3 linked regions of the Elephas maximus indicus genome follow. The protein of the gene in region 1 interacts with the protein of each later gene in a pairwise test. Links are inferred from orthologs where the notes say so. Each region holds a gene or a part of one and is shown on either strand. Other genes may lie near its edges.

Region 1 (5,607 bases):
CTGTCCATCCCAGTGAGGATACCATCTCTGCTCTTAATAGTACCACCAACCCCAGCCATACAGGGTTGCCCAGCTACTCTTTTTTAGCTCCAGTACCAATGTCAATCTGTCAGAGAGCAGCTCTCCCATCCCTACCCTTATGAGGCCTCAGGCAGTGGTGGCAAACTTTTCCTGAAGATTGTTTAACCTGTGCTTTCCTTGGGATTTGACTGAGTGTCAGCTGGTCGGGTCCCTGAGCCACTTGCGATATCTCCACCAAGATCCTGATGCCTGGGCAGGGTGAATCCCATCCCTGGAGCTGCTGTACCAGCTAACCCTCCTCTCTTACAACTCTGTGTACCAAGAACTCCTTGTGTCAGCCTCATTCTTAAGCCACTACAGCTTTCTGGGAGTAGTCTCACCTTCTTCGGGTGCCCATGCCCTTGGCATTGCCCACCACATTCCATGTCATGTGAGTCAACCCAGGAGAAGTATGAGTGTATTTGAGGCTTAGGAGTAGTCATCCCACCTTTGGTTTCTCCCTGGACTTCAGCTACCAGCACAGCAACCATTAATATTGGTCCTGTAGGTTGACAGGAGTTCACACATCAGTGCTTGCTTGCCTCCATCCTTTCTACCACATCTTATAGAGGCTCATTACCAGGTATTTTATTCTTAAAACAAGGGCATGAAACGTGATAGGGAAAGGACTGTTACAGACCCTTTCCCCACATGTGCCTCTTTGCTCTGCCTGTTTGGCATCTCCTCCACACCATTTATTCCCCATACACCCAGGGTCAGAGCTTAGTAACTCCTGAAACTTCTCTCCCTTGACTGAGATAAGGGCTAAGAAATGTCAGTAAATAAAGAGCTTTTGTCCAATCCCAGTGCGTTTTTTTTTTTTTTTTTTTTTTTGGCCGGGGATAGGGGGCTGGGGAGACAAATTGGGCCTGGGATAAAGAACAAAGCGTGTAGGAGAAAAAGATAGGGGGCCAGTGTTCAAACCTGGGACCAGCCTGGCCTGGAGAGGAAGAGTCCAGGACAACTGTGGGGTTGGGGCAGAAGCTTCCTGGAGCCTTGTGATTATGTATTTTGTCAGTGCTCTAAAATTTCCCTGGAGACTGTTTCCCTTGGTGTCCAAAATAGGTCCCTGGCATTCAGGTCCTTTCTGCCCACCTCACCTTCTCCCAATTTCCTAACAAAGTTAAAGGTCATCAGAGTTCTTCCTGTGAGGTGTTCATGGACCAGAATCTTACACTTTCACAGGGGCATTCTTGTAAAGGCGTTCCAGGCCCTGGCACAACAGCCACCTCTGACCTCTTTAGCTCCTTTTCCTAGGGTGATATGAGAAGGGGCTGGGCAAGAACAGAATGAACCAGAAATGTCTCTCTAGTCTCTGATGCCTCTGTTCTGAATCACGGGGTCTCAAGGAGGAGGGCCAGGGTCACTGGCTAAGTCTGTGGAGGAGGAAACTGTCACTGACTGTAGGTCTGGCGAGAGTTGTCCTCCCACCCTGGGACTTGCATAGTGCCTTTCACGCGGGCTAATTTAGAATTCTGTGTCACTGCCCTGGAAGAAGAGCCCAAGCCAGAGCATGGAGGTCAGGGGCTCACGGGAGCCTTCTGAGGGGAAGCAAATGAGAGACTGACACCTCTGCTAGCATACCCTTCACCATAAGCAATGAAGCTCACTCCCTGCTGTTGCTCAAGGGAGCCACCCATTCCTGAGTGAGTCAGGGTCACTCACTCAATGACAGCTGTGGCTCGCCTTACATGAGCTAAATTGGGAGCTGGAATGACATACAGATGCCCCTTGCCTCCCCACCCCCATGTTAAAGTTAATCTCCTCTCTGTGGAGTGAGGGACAAACAGTGCTGCCCACAGAGTGAACAAGAGAAAGTCGTTTGAGAAACAAAAGGAGAATTTTCCAGGGACAGAGGGAGGGATAGATTAAGCTACATGTGCCTGGCTAGGGCATAGAGCAGAGAACAGGGTGAGACAGAAGTGTCTGGAGACAGCCATCTAAGGACGAGGCAAGTTGTTAGAGGAAGGACAGGAGAGATAGCAGAGCTATTTCAAGAGTGAGCAACAGAAGGGAACATAAGAATCTGCAGACTGTCTAAAGTAAACGAGGAAGGGTCCAGAGTTAGTGAGAGAAGGCCAGGACCAGGGCCAAGGCCAGGGCAGGCACGATCGCTGAGGGGATGAACTTCGCAGTGGGTTTCAAGCCGCTGCTAGGGGATGCACACAGCATGGACAACCTGGAGAAGCAGCTCATCTGCCCCATCTGCCTGGAGATGTTCTCCAAACCGGTGGTGATCCTGCCCTGCCAACACAACCTGTGCCGCAAGTGTGCCAACGACGTCTTCCAGGTGGGCTCCCCGGGCGGGGGTAGGGACGGGTGAAGAAACATAGACTTGCAATAAGACTTCGAGCCAGGTCAGAGCTGAGTCCCGAGAAGGTGATGGGTACCATGCTGTGTGAGGTGGGTGGTGGCTGTTGTGACAGAAGAGCAGAAAAAGGGCCTGACTCCTAGCAGGTCCCAAAGTGAGCATGAGTCAGCAGCTGCGCCGTAGGCTGGTGGTGCAGCCTATGAAGTACAGCAGCTGGAATGCCAGCACCTACAGAGGAAAGAAGATCCCATAGAAACTGGGAGGGAGGTGATCCCACACCAGGCCCTGTCACAGCCTGTGACAGACTGCACTCCAGTGTGGAGCTTCAGATTTTGAGAGTGATATGGAAAATATGGGGAGAAGATCAACAAGATAATAAAATATTTAAAGATAAATCCTGTGAGAAAAGGTCTGTGATGACAGAGAAACTACTTGTATTTAAGACAAAGCTCAGTTCCCTGATTCTGTGGGGGCAGTGTTAGACACAGTGGGAATTCTCCCCAGCTTATATCCATAACCTGTGCTCTGCTCCAGAGTGTTCAGTAAAGAGGCCTACTGGTGAAAAGCATTGAGGTCACTTGACTTAAACAGAGAGAAGGGAGATAAGAAATTTTACTTTCCATAACTAATCGATCTCACAGATACCATTTTAGCCACTGGTTTCAAATATAAAAGCAGCATATACCAGAGTGGTTTATAAGTGAGCTTTCTTTCTTGCCCTGTGCTACACTGGAGTACTAGTAAGCTATGAAATGGAACAAAGATCAGAGAAAGTGAGAGGGAAAGACCTGGATACCTTGCAAATGAAATAACTCTAAATAGGCCAGAGCTGGCTTTGTATGTATGACAGTGATAAGGAACTTCACGAATAAGTTCTTCATCTGTATCAGAAATTATGAGGAAATGTGTTGAACACAATTGATTTTTAACTTAACCAAGAAAATGCTTCCCTTTTAAGTTCTTTGGGGGCAAAGAAGGGCAAACTAAGATGGGGCTGTCCTGCAGCTGTGCCCTTGCCCGTCAGCTGTCTGCCATCTTTCCTTACCGCCTAGCAACCTGCAGTCTCTTTTACCGTCTTCTCATCGAGGCCTATTTCCATCCCCTATTCCTCCAAGTGTCCAAACCTGCCATTATTTGGCTCTAGAGTACAAAGCCAGAAGTTTTTCCCTCTGTTGGGGTGTAGACTCCTATGCCTGCTCATCCCGGTCATCAAGTCATATAAGAGAGGCAACTTTGTCCACTATCCTGTTTTTTCCCTTGGTCTAATTTTGAACATTCTTTAGACTGAGGTGCCTGGTGGGGGGGATGGCAAAAATCTCATGAATTTATACTGAAACACCCCTCATTTGAACCTGAAATATGTGAAAGCAAAAAGAAGTTTTGAAAGCTAAAGTAATGTGCCCTTTAAAAAAAAGTGGTCAGGATATTAAAGTACAAGCCACACAGTAATTGTGTGGTGGGACCCAGGAATAGGTCACATACATGGAGACTAGAAGATGTTTAAATGACCTCTGTTGTTCCAGTTGGTCTTCTGTACCCAGGCACACTGCTTTGGTCCCATGAAGCTCTAGAATACTGATGTGGGCCCAGAGAGAACTGGGGATGGTTTGGGTTTGGGTCCAACACTGTACAGATTATTTGGGAGATAATGTGATTCCAGGCTTCGGGATGGTTCTTTGGGAGTGATGTGGAACAGCCCCTGGGCCTTCCAAGAAGATAAGAGTGAACAGCTTGTTTCCTTCATGTTTTATTTGGGAAGGCCTGGTGGGAGGCTGACCCAGTTCTTCAGCCACACTTATGTATATACATCTCAGTACATCCCCCTCTAAAAGATGAACATATTTAGTTTTTTCACACATTGCCTCCACATTTTGACAACTCGGCACAATCAGATCGTCTGTTTTCTGAGTATGGGGATAAGAATAGGGCTTTTGGTTCCTCTATATAGGGTTGCTATGACTTAGAATTGACTCAACAGCAATGGGTTTTGTTTTGTTTTGATCTTAAAACTACTTAGGAAGAACACCTTAGAACATTGCCTGGAAAGTTAACAGGACTCATTATTATAAAAGTTAAAAAGTGACAATCATATATTTTTAATAAGCAATATACATATACACATACCTTTTTTTTTTTTCAAATAATATAGGAGTTTATATCATGAAAAGTGAATCTGCTACTCACCTCAGACCCTCAGTCTCCTTCTTTGGATAGAGGTAACCATTCCCAGCTTTCTTAGGTGTGCTCCCAGAAATTTTCTGTGGAGAGGTACATGTTTGCACTTATGTATTTATATACGCATATTTAAACACAAATAAGAGCATACTAGACTCATTGTCTTACACTTGGCTTTGTTCACTCACTCTCAGCGATTGTTCCATCCCCACACATTCAGATCTGTGTCTTTCTCTTTAATGGTTCTGTGGTTTTCCCTAGTTACGGCTGGACCACAGTCTATTTTAGCAGTCCTCTAAAACATTGTCCAGTGTTTTGCTGCTCTAAAAACTGCTGTGATGGACATAACGCTCTAAAGGCTTCTGTGAAGCAGGAATTTTGGGGAATTGTGATTTTATAAGATCAGGTTAACCAGAGAGCCAGCAAACAAGATTTGAAAAGATAAAAGCATTTAATTGAAAATATTGTACAGTATTAAGGGGATGGGAGGAAATCATATTTTTGCCTTTTACTTCAAGTCCCTGTCCCCATACATAACATATTTTGACCTAGTTGCCATTAGAATTTAACTAGTTTTCTTTGGAGCCGTAATGCATCTCTGTTTCTCTGAATTTAAACTGAATAAAACACAAAGCACCGCCTTAACCTCCTCAAATTTCTGCTTCCCTCTGTCCCCACACTTGCACCCACTCAGCTACCAAGAATTTTGACTAGATGAAAGCTGTTGGTGTGGGAATTTGACACAAATATTTTCTCATGTGTTTCTGTATTTGTGAACTCGGTTGTGTCTATGCCACTTTAATGCAAGCCTTTGGTTTATTTTTATACTTGCCCCCACTTCACTGTGGGCACTTGCTTATGACCTGTAACGTGTTGTAATTTAACAGACAATCCGGAGGCCTTGTGAGAAGGTTGTTCAGGAACAGCTTTTCTAGAGGGTTTCCATTTAGGGAGGGACTTGCTGAGGTGGGAATACTAAGAAAGAGCCTCCGTCTCTAAGGCAAGAGCAGTCTTGGAAAGAGATGAGCTCCGTTTCACCCCACCCCGAATCCCAGTTCTTT
Region 2 (5,607 bases), on another chromosome or scaffold:
TCCACCCAGAGGCACCTCGGAAGAAAGGCCTGATGTTCTACTTCTGAAAAATCGCCACCGAAAGCCTTATGGAGCACAGTTCTATTCTGACACACATGGGGTCGCCATGAGTTGGAGTTGGCTGGACAGCAACGGGTTTACTGGTTATGCTCATCCTGTGGAAAGACCTAGTCATTCTCAGACATCATTGACCAGACACTTGGGGGATGCTCAATAGAATAATAACATGCAGCCAAGTTAAGAACAGTCCTACAGGAGATATTTGGGGAGCCTCTCAAACTTGGGGACAGTGTACCTTTTGATGTAATTGCTGCCCATCACCATCATTTCTGTGTTGATTTATAAACTTAACAAAAGGATATTAAGATCTATCCTTCTTTCAAACTCCTACCACTCTATGCTAAGAGGTACTTCCTAAGAGGTACTACACCGCAGCATTAGCTGTCCCCACTTGACTGGGAGACCTGCAACACCAGAGACTACAGCCTGCTTATTTCTGAAAACCCAGGAAAGCTATTAAAGGACTTTGTTTTGTTTTTTTTAAGGCAATGGCACCCTTTCTGTCTCCATAGCCCACTCCCCAAGCCCTCCACCAACAATGTGGGTGTAGTTATTAACCTTTTCAATCTTGGCTAATCTGATAGGTAAGCTTGGCAGCCCACTTTTTAAAAAAATTTAATATTTATTGTACCACTTATTGATGCCAATCTAGCTTTTGTTTGTTTGTTTTTAAACCCCAAGAATCTTGGCAACCTTTGCTGGCACTAAAATCGCACCTCCTGATCCAGCTATAAGGGGTGTGAACAGATGGCATCCTGAGGCCAGGCCATGTAGCAAGTGTCTTCTTGGCTGCACCAGGTACAGCACCCCAGGAGTCCTGAACCAAGGCTGTTTATTCTTCCACAGCCTGTAAAACCACTCCAGGTGCATATCCAGGGTGACCCTGCAACAAGCCATCGCACATACAGTCCCAGGAAGTCATCCTTACTGCCTACGGAATTGTTCTGCTCTCCCCTGGGCCTCCCAGTCCTTTCTTCTAAAATCCAGCCTTTATCAGGCCACAGAACATCGCAGCCAGTGGCCTAGCACAGAAGTCTCTCTTGGCCTTACCCCCAAAAAACCCACTGCTGTTGAATCGATTCTGATTCACAGCGATCCCACAGGGTTTTCAAGGCTGTAAATCTTTAAGGAAGCAGAGTGCCACATCTTTCCCCCAAGGAGTGGCTGGTAGTGTCAAACTACCCATCTTTTGGTTAGCAGTCAAGTGCTTTAAGCAATGTGCAACCAGGGCTCTTTCTTTCCCCCTTAACGCCCTAGTATTCTGAAACCAGGATAGGCAGCCCTCTCTGCCCCACATAACTCCTGGGGCCTCCCAGTGAATCCTAAGTGACCTAACCATAAAGTGACCCAGAAAGACTCAACAAGCACATCAGGGGGACCCAATGCAGGAACCCCACAAGTCGGGGTGGCCTTTGCACTTCTTAAGCCTCCGTCTTCCTCCAGCACAAGGCTTGTTAATCTCTGAGAAGCCCTCAATTTTAAAACTTTTGAGCTAGTATCAACATTCCTTTCAGAAGTAAATCACCACCCATCCGACCCAACCTGGCCCATCTGACCAGGGAGAGTAAAACACAGGGGTCCTAACTCAGCCCAGCAAATTGAAGCCCACAGGACACAAATGGGTGAGCGCCACCCGACTCTGTCCCCCCTGTTCTGCTTGACCTTCCTTCACACTCCATTATTTGACTTCCTCTCTCCCTCCTCTGTACTACTTTTGTAACCCCCCCCACCTCTGTCTTACCTTCCCCCTCTGTTGCCTTTCCAGCTCTGCCCCCACCCCTGTCTGTCCTCTCATTCCCCTAGGTCCCCTGCCCCCGGCCGTGCCCCCGACCCCTGCTCTGCACCTGTCCTGCCCCTGCCCGCTCTGTTCCCCCCGTCCCCCGTTCTGCCTCTCTTCTCCCCCCCTGCCTCCCACTCTGGCCCCTTGTCCCCCCACCCTGCCCCCTTCTCCCCTCTGCCCTCTATTCTGCGCCCCTGCCCCGGATCTGTCCCCCTGGCCCCCTCGGTCCCCTGCCCCCTCGGTCTCCGGGCCCCGGGCGCGCCGCTGGCCTGCCTGGCCTGCCCGGCTCTGACGCACCGCCGCCTTCACACCAATGAGGCCGCGATCGACCGCCCCTCCCCCGGGAAGGTGTGCCCAGGTTTCCTCACCTGAAACTTCCAGGAGGCTGGGCCCTCCTCCCGTCTGCGGGCGCCGGGCCTGCGCGGGGACACGGCGGGCCGCGGACCCTCGCGGACAGCATGTGACCGGCCGGGTGGGCGCAGGTCCCCGGCCCAAAGAGGTAAGGGGCGCAGACGAGGGGGCGCGGCCAAGGCGACCTGCCTGGCGGCCCGGAAACGGGGGCGGGCGGGCCACCTGGTGTGCGCCGCGAGCACCCCCAGGCCGGGCAGGAAGAGGAGGGGAGCCGCCGGGACCTTCTTCCCGAAAAGTACGCTTCCGGCCGGCCGGCCGCGGAAGTGGGCGCCGGCCCAGGTGCGCCCGTTGGCCAGGTGCGCCGTCGCCGGGTGGGGCCCGCCGAGGCCCGGAGGGAGCGGCCCCCACGGGGGATGATCGAGACCCTCTTCTAGGAAAGCCTACAGGACGTGCGTTCTTCTGTCTTTCGCCGTGGCCAGGCCTGCATTTACCTTCCTCCGTACGTGTTTGCGACCTTGTGTGTGTCTATGTGCGCACCCCTCTCCACCAGCAAGGCTTCCCATCTTAGGAGTGAGGGCCCCACCCTAGAAGTGAGGTCCCCACCCCATGGGCAGGTGCGGGGAGCGCCTCCCGAAGCTCCTTGTTAACACCACACTGCATTCTTCACTGGGAAAGGAGGAGGGCCCAGGGCCGGGGGCCAGGACTCCAGACTGGGCCCGGGCCTGAGCATCATTTACAATTCCCTCAGCCAGCCTGTCCTGAATCCTGGCCTCAGCCCCATCTCTCCTGATCCCCACATTCACCGCTGCCTGTCTCCCCACAAGTGACCTCTGGTCAGGACTGATGTCAGATCCAGGGAGGGTGTGTCAGCAGGCGGGCTGGGAGCTAGGCTGACTTGTCCTTGCTGGCTTCCTCCTTCCTCAGCTCCAGGCTCACCACCCTACTCTATCTATGGCTTCCATCCTCAGCTACACTGGAAGCTCCCTGCTCCACTTAACCACCTCCCCATGTTTAATCTGTGGACATGGCCTCCTTCTCCAATGTCCTGTGTTATTCACACCTGGAGTGTGGAGAGGCCCCACAGTGGGGCTCATTTATTAACTCACCTGAGGGTCACCTGAAAGGGAAGTCCATTGTGGGGCTCTTGGGGTGAGGTGGAGGATGGGGAAACGGGGTGCCAGGAGGAAGAAATGACACTCTGCTAGCGGGGAAGGGGACAGCCAAGAGGTGGATTAGGAAGGCTCCTACCACAGGATGCAGTATTTCCAAGCAGAGCCCGGTGTCTTCCTGTGTGCAGGGGCCCAGAGTGTGTGCTGCCAGTCATGGCCTGTCAGAGGCTGTCTGGGGCTATACTGAGCGTGATGTCTTTGGGGCAGACACAACACATTATCCACGGTGTCTGGAGGGGTCAAGCTCTCTGGGGCGTGTGCAGGCAGCAACAGGCTGCTCATGGGGTGAACAGGAGCCACTGTGTTGTTCAGGTGTCTGTGGCGTACGCACCTACAGGAGACATGCAGCATCTGGTGTAGACAGGGGCTGGGCCACACACGGTGTCTGTGGAGTGAACAGACAGGATCAGGTCAGGTAGAGTGTCTGCAGTGAGCCAGAACAGGGTGACTCTCAGGTCTGAACAGGTGGCTCACATGATAACTGTGTAGGCAGCATCAGGACCACAGGTGTGCTGGGGGGTACGTGTTAGCACTGTGGCTGCTTCTGATGTTCTGGGGAGACCCCAGGGTCTGCGGGGCAGTGATGATGTGATATGTCCAGATATCCAGACATTCCCCCCCCAAAAATAAGCAAACCCATCGCCTTCTAGTCAATTCCAACTCATAACAACCCTATAGGAAAAATGTTGATTGCAGTCTCCTCTGGGAGGGCAGGGCTTCCCTAAAGTGGGTGGGACATAGGTCTTAGAGGTCAGGGGTCCAGAAAGCTGCTCTTATTTTGTCATTTTTGTAGTGTGTGGTCCCTGGGTGATACAGTCGGTTAAGTGCTCAACAAAAAAAATAAACATTGCCACTGAGTCGATTCCAACTCTTAGAGACCCTATAGGACAGAGCAGAACTGCCCCATAGGATTTCCAAGGAGCTGCTGGTGGATTTGAACTGCCAGTGAGCTGTTAACCACTGCACCACCAGGGCTCCAAGTGCTCCACTAGCAGCTGAAAAGTTGGCCATTCGAACCCACTTGGTGGCACTGGAAGGAAGTCCTAGTAATCTGCTCCTGAAAGGTCACAGCCAAGAAAACCCTACAGAGCAGTCTCTGCCCTGTAACACACAGTCGGCTCAGTAGCAGCAGGTTTGGGTTTTTGGTGTGGTCACACACGGGGCAGTCCCGTGAACACAGTGAAAAAGGTCGACATCTGATGGTCATCTTACTTTCTAAATCAGATGAGGCATTTCCCTACTGCGAGCCGCAGTCTGAAAGACAAAGTTTAAATGAGAAAGAAGTGTTGTCATCTCAAGAGAACTCCAGGGATTGGTGGGGAAGTCAGAATATTTGAAATGGACATTGCCAGAAAATCAAGGAGACCTGGTCCCAAGGCACACACGTGGCCCCAATGTCAGCCCAAAGAGTGTGTGACAGGGGTATCTTTGAAATGTAAGTTTACCCTGGGGGCCAGACATGGACAAGAGCTGGTACTGGGGTTGGATGGGACCAGAGCTCTGTCTGTCACACTGTGTCAGTGGGGGACTTGAGCTTGTCTCTGACAGAGTTGCATGTGGACCAGTCAGGCGGATGCAAATGCCCTTAGTCTGCAGGAGGGCCAGGTTGCCACAGTGCCCTGCCTTCTCTCTACCCGTGCACAGGGAACAGGGATCACTCACCCCCAGTGCAGAGGGGGTGAGGAGGTGGTGCAGAAACGACCTTGGTGCCCTGACATGAGTAAGGCACCTGCAGGTCTTCTGTGCTGGTCGTGCTTGGCAGTGCCCTACCTGGGTGCAGTGGGGAGTGACGCAGAAACGGCCTTGGTGCCCTTACATGGGTAAGGCCACCTGTAGGTCTTCTGTGGTGGTCATGCTCGGCAGTGCCCTGCCTGGGTGCAGTGGGGAGTGACGCAGAAATGGCCTTGGTGCTCTTACGTGGGTAAGGCCACCTGTAGGTCTTCTGTGGTGGTCGTGCTCAGCTGTGCCCCACCTGGGTGCGATGGGATTACTATGGCAGGAGCAGGCAGGGACATGGGGTGTGTTCTTTCTCCAGTTGGGTAAATGGCTATGCCATGACCCCCAAAATTTCCAGCTGGGCAAAGACGGCAGGAGGCACCGCTGTATCACTAACGAGGCTCCGAAGGTGTCCGTGTGGCACGTGGTACGTACAGATAGAGCCTGGGTATGCCAGAAACATATATTTGGGGGCCATTTATTTTGAGGACAAAGCACAGGATGGTGTGTGGAGGGCAGAGGGCTGGGGTC
Region 3 (5,607 bases), on another chromosome or scaffold:
AAGCTCTTCATCTCAAAAAAAAGTCTACACAATTTTAAGCAGCAATGTTCTAAAGGGAAGGAGTTTCTAAGACTGACTTCCCCGTGCTTAATGCAGTGGCTACCCAGTACAATGTTCTAATATCGGAGATGAGAGAATTATAAACCGTATATGAAAAGCCTTTTTCAAAGGCTGTTTTCGCAGTACTGGCAACGGCTAGCAGAAGTCTTAGGCGAAACAAATGCCGTTCAGCCCGAGTGAGCCCAGCACGGACGCCGTTTGGAAAGCAAACGACAGTTTGGAAGCAGCGCGCCCACTGGCAGGGATCTCAGACCCCGGTGTCGGGCTCCTCGGGTCCGAGGGGGCGGCGGGGCGCGGCGGGACGGGAGGCCTGAGCGATCGCAGCGACCCGAGGCCCGGACCGGCCCGTTTGGGCCGGGGTCCCACTCCTCGCGGCCCACTCGGCTTCCCCAACGTGGCCCGGGGCAGCCCCGCCGGGAGTCGGGCCGGAGGGCCCCGCCACGTGAGCCACCCGACACGGCAGGTAGCCACACTCACCTGGGCGCCGGCGGAGCCAGCGCTCCCGAGCGCAGGAGACACTGGACGGCAAGCCGAGGGCCCGCGGGAGAGGGGCGGGGCCTCGGGGGCGGGGCCCCGGGCGCCGGGAGGGGCGGGGCGAGGGTGGGGCGGGGCGCCGGGCAGCACAGGGCGGAACCCGCACCTCAGGGAGTGAGGGAAGTGGGAGCCGTGGAGAGGAGAGCGGAACCTCGCGATAACTTGCCCCCGTTCGTGCGGATTCGCGATAGGTGGGACGAGAAGCACGTTTTCCACGAGATGTGTCTATTGGCCGAGAGCGCGGCTTCCTCCACACTGGTCCCGCCCCCTGCCGGCGCTTCCGGCTCCGGCCTGGCGGCTTCTTGGGGTAGCGGGTTTTTGTTTTTCTGAAGTTGTAATTTAACCTTTTCCAGCCCCAAGATCCGGCAATAGTTAACTTTTTCTTTCATTCATGCGTTCATTCAGGCACTCGTGCTCTCGCCCAGTGCATACGTTAAGGAATTGCAACAATAATAACACCGGATGTTGAGCTGTGCGTGGGCTATCTTTTACCCCTCACAACAGCCCCTTCCCACGGGTGCTATTATCCCCTTTCGACTGGTGAAAACCTGAGGCCCGGTGGGTTTCTGTAACGTGGCCTAGGGCAGCACCGGATTTAAAGACTCGGTGGCAACGGGTTTGGTTTTGGTTTTTTTGGTGAGTACCAGGTTCCAAAGATGAAATAACCCAGTCACTGCCCTTGAAACACCGAAGATGTGTAGTGAGTTACGTATTATGGAAGTCCCTAGCATGACTGGGTAGTCCGTCAATAAATATCACTTCAAGAATCAATTTTCCTGTGTCAGTGGAAAGAGACATCAAAGGAAGACGGCTTCAAACTGCTTTGAAAACAACAACCAAGCATTGTTCTGGAATATTAAAACACATACACACATTTTTAAAATACCACGCTTGTTAATGTAACAATTTTATGATGAAGTGAAAATTGTTTTAAAAAGTGTCCTCCCTTAAAACTGCAGTTGTTTATTGGTCTTTGAAAAGCTTGATTTTGGTAATTTTCTAGAGCCTCATTGTAAAGCAACTTTATAATTAACTATTTTCAGTTTGGCTTAATTACTCTTAGATATGAATTACCTAGAAAGGAGAATTATATTTTTTAAAAACTTCCAAAACACGTTGTTAGTTATAAATTACCAATTAAATCTGGTCTTAAGTATACAGGATAGTAAATGTCATATAGTTCTAAGTGTTTTTTTTTTTTTTGGTTGGGGTAGACATTTTTTGCTAGGATTAAAATGAAGAAACCTAAAGCGTGTGTAAAAACAAATTCTTAGGATATTAATGATCAGCCAAAATAATAAAACCTGCTCCTAATACAGAAGTCACAAAAAAGGATTAACAATAGAACAACAATTTTTTTTTTTTTAAACGTGCTGATCAATGTCTGCCTCTTTGGTTTTCATTTCTTCAAAAAATTTTTTTCAGTGGAGCAATTTAGTATATGATACTTGGTCTTGAAAAATGTACCATCTTAAAAATTTTTTTTAAATAACTTTTAACACCCCCCCTCAATTGACACAAAAGTAACCAAGTGATAATTGATAATATAGTATTCTATGACCATTAATGAAAGTCTTCTCATTATATAAAGAATCAGTTTTCACATTTTGCCTTACTTAAAACAAGGGAGGAAGACCCCTCTAACTTAAGTTAGCGATTTTGCAAACTTTCACATCAGCAGGCAGCGATACCACTTTAAGAAAATTCCAAGGAAAAGACAACCCCTTTAAAATTCCCACCTCTGGCTCCCAAGGATTGGATTGCAAACTCCAACAAAATACTCTTCTCCACTTCCTATTGGTGCCTGCTCTATCACTCATTCTTCTGCCTTAAATTTTGTGAAGCACCAGGTTGCTTTACGGGAAAAGGCTCCTCTGATTTAGTCTGAAAGTGCCTACTTTAGGCTTTTTCATGGTTATTAATCTGTACAAAGAATCACAAAACTGATAAAGCGGGAACGAAACTGGTAAATCAGGCTACAAGACAACTGTGAAATTCGCTGGAAAAAGAAACGGAGAACCACTCAAGAACACAGGGTAAACTGACAAAGGATTTTACGACAAAGTTAGAGATGTGTGAGTTAAGAACCTTTTCCCGTTTTTTGCTGGTTTTAAAGGAGCAAGTGTCAAAGGAAAGCCAGAGAAGATGTAGGCATGATCTAAGGGTGACAGGAGGGGGAATTTTCAGAAGATATTTTCCTCATTAGGGAGCAGTTGAAAGAGCATCCTCAGATGATCGGTGGATTTCTGAAAGGTCAAGGGAACAAGGTGATAAGACTAATCATAAATTGTTTTCTACTCTAAGAAGCTGTGATTTGTTATTGTTTTGCTTTAACGTGGACTTATTAAAGCAAATTTAATAATACTGTAATTTATAAATGAATTGGATATTTTTGTACATTACCATACCTAGCATAAGAGACGATCCATCTATTAAAGATGTAAGAGAAAATTAGAATCATCTTTGTACCTAAATTTTGTATATATTTGTGGATTAGGAAATCCAGACCCGCTAATGACCAAACAAAACACCATATTGGCATATAAAGCAGAATCACTAAGTAGGTAATGTTAAGAATAAATTCTCAAAAAAAAATCTAGCATTAATATTTTCAAAAATGATATTTTCATTAAAACTACAATATAAAAGTATAGGAGGATATTGATAAATATGAATACATTAATTATATTAAAACTTGGATTTAGAATGGCAATAGGCAGTGATACCACTTTAGTATCTAGCCCAACATATAGTCCTAAAATAAAAAAATATAGCACCTTAAAATTCTTCAAACATTAATTCAGCTAGTACTTATAATACCTAGTGGCACGTCTACAAAGCCTAAACGCACAGTAGGCATGCACTAAATATTTCTTGAGTGCCTTCTATTAATCCATTTTGAGAAATATAATAAAATAGAGCCCCTTGAAGAAGCTCAGACTGACCCAACCCAGTGCCGTCAAGTCAGTTCCAACTCATAGCGACCCTACTGGCTGGGAGAAAAATCAGTCTCAAAACATTTAAGTTAAAACTATGAGCTCTTCTTGATGCCCAGATAACTGTTACAGACCATAGATGCTTCAAGATCTCAGGTCTGAGTAGAAATATTCAGGAAGGCCTTCAAGTAGGTGAGGCCCAATTCGGGCCTGAGCAATGGGCAAAATTTCAGTAGATATGAAAGAAGGGATGTGACCTTCCAGGTAGTAGGTGAGTTGTTAGCAAATACGTGCAGCCTTGACTTCAGCAGAAGGCTCATTTGGGAATCTTGATTTAAAAGAAAACTTACATGACCGTAGAGCCAAAAGTACCAGAATTGAGGAGTTTAGTCCTGAGTTTTGAACAGGAGAGAGACTTTATGAAAGTAATATACAAAGAAGATAAAACTGACAGTGCCATTTAAGATGGCCCCAAGGGTAGAGAACAGAAGCAAAGAAGCAAAACATTGTAAATACTAGAGTACAGATTATAACTGAGCCTCTTAAAGCATTTTGTCAAATCCCTTTACTGTTGTTGAATAACATAAATCTTCATGCATTTCTTCATACTCTTCGAAAGCTTTGAGTTTATTTCTTGTTTGGCAGTACAGATAACGATTTGGTTAGGTGTGGGACTGGTTGTGGTACAGTTAAAACAGCAAAGGTGATTATATTGTACATTGAAGTGGTTCTTTCTCTTTTGTCTCAGAATTTACGTGTGTTTTCTTGATTTTATTAAACTGAATTGAAGGAGTTACAAAAACAAAACAACAACCAAAAAAACTCCTTATGACAGAAGAATGCCATGGAAGTCTATAAACTTTTCACCTGAAATGCTCCAACGTGAAATTCCACACAAACTCAGTGAGCTGTTACAATGTGCCAGGCGCTATGTTCAATGTTAGGAAAGCAAAGGGGAGTGAAGTACCATCTCCCAAAAAAAGGGCGAAGTGCTTCAGGGACACCAAGGGAGGTGGTTGTCTCCTCCTTGTCTTCATCTCTGCAACAAAACTTGCTTCTAAAGAATTGAAGCTCATCTATCCTAAGTAATTGATGAATGGTTCTTAATTAAGTGGAAGGAGAAGGAGGAATCTTACCTGTGGAAAAGAACTGTGAGACCAGCACTCATAATGTAGATAACTCAAGTGCCACACAATAATGCTTACCCAATATTCCATTTTTTCCCCTAAATATCCGAGCCCTTTTGGCTGGGAGCAAATGAAATGTTAGCAGAAGTGATAAGTGTGACTTCTGGGCAATGGTGCTCATTTTTCCAATCTTTCTTATCTTCTGCTATGACTCCTGTTGATGTATGTTGTTGCTAGGTGCCATCAAGTTGGTTCTGACTCATAGAGACCCCCTGTACAACAGAACGAAACACTGCCCCATCCTGCATCATCCTCACCGTTATTGCTATGTTTGAGTCCACGGTTGCAGCCACTGTGTCAATCCATCTCAATAAGGGTTGTCTTAGTTATCTAGTGCTGCTACAACAGAAATACCATAAATTGTTGGCTTTAACAAATAGAAATTTATTTTCTCACAACTTAGGAGTCTAGAAGTCTGAATTCAGGGTGCTGTTTTTAGGGAAGTCTTCCTCTCTCTGTCAGCTCTGGAGGAAGTTCCTTGTCTCTTTGAGCTTCTGCTCCTGAGCCATCTTCTGTGGCTTAGCATCTCTCTTCCCCCATCTCTGTTTCTTAGTTTGCTTGTTTAATCTCTTTTATATCCCAAAAGAGATTGGCCCAAAATACACCCTCCACTAATCCTGCCTCATTAACGTAACAAAGACAACCCATTCCCAAATGGGATAGTAATCACAGCCATAGAGGTTAAGAATTACAACACATTTTTTCTTTTTGGTAGGGGGAGGTGGGGTGGCGGGGGAGGCACAATTCAATTCATATCAAGGGTCTTCCTCTTTTTCAATGACCTTCTACTTTCCCAAGCATGATGTCCTTCTCCAGGGACTGATCCCTCCTGATAACCCATCCAGAGTATGTGAGGGGAAGTCTCACCATCCTTGCTTCTAAGGAGCACT

Evidence for each region.
Region 2: the proteins of TRIM54 (region 1) and ARHGEF5 interact in binary tests that used the Homo sapiens proteins (3 or more experiments, as listed by UniProt). The two-hybrid records come from large-scale screens. The link is inferred for Elephas maximus indicus from reciprocal best matches to the Homo sapiens genes TRIM54 and ARHGEF5.
Region 3: the proteins of TRIM54 (region 1) and TTC23 interact in binary tests that used the Homo sapiens proteins (3 or more experiments, as listed by UniProt). The two-hybrid records come from large-scale screens. The link is inferred for Elephas maximus indicus from reciprocal best matches to the Homo sapiens genes TRIM54 and TTC23.

Annotation. Positions count from the first base shown.
Region 1 is NC_064830.1:45,787,958-45,793,564, forward strand, and holds the start of TRIM54 (tripartite motif-containing protein 54), read left to right. Parts: upstream 1-2,182; coding exon 2,183-2,350; intron 2,351-5,607. UniProt on the Homo sapiens protein: May bind and stabilize microtubules during myotubes formation.
Region 2 is NC_064826.1:5,479,099-5,484,705, reverse strand, and holds the start of ARHGEF5 (rho guanine nucleotide exchange factor 5), read left to right. Parts: upstream 1-2,220; 5' UTR 2,221-2,339; intron 2,340-5,607. UniProt on the Homo sapiens protein: Guanine nucleotide exchange factor which activates Rho GTPases. Strongly activates RHOA. Also strongly activates RHOB, weakly activates RHOC and RHOG and shows no effect on RHOD, RHOV, RHOQ or RAC1.
Region 3 is NC_064831.1:90,663,237-90,668,843, reverse strand, and holds the start of TTC23 (tetratricopeptide repeat protein 23), read left to right. Parts: upstream 1-2,432; 5' UTR 2,433-2,630; exon of another isoform or gene 2,631-2,665; coding exon of another isoform or gene 2,666-2,669; exon of another isoform or gene 2,670-2,861; intron 2,862-5,607. UniProt on the Homo sapiens protein: Participates positively in the ciliary Hedgehog (Hh) signaling.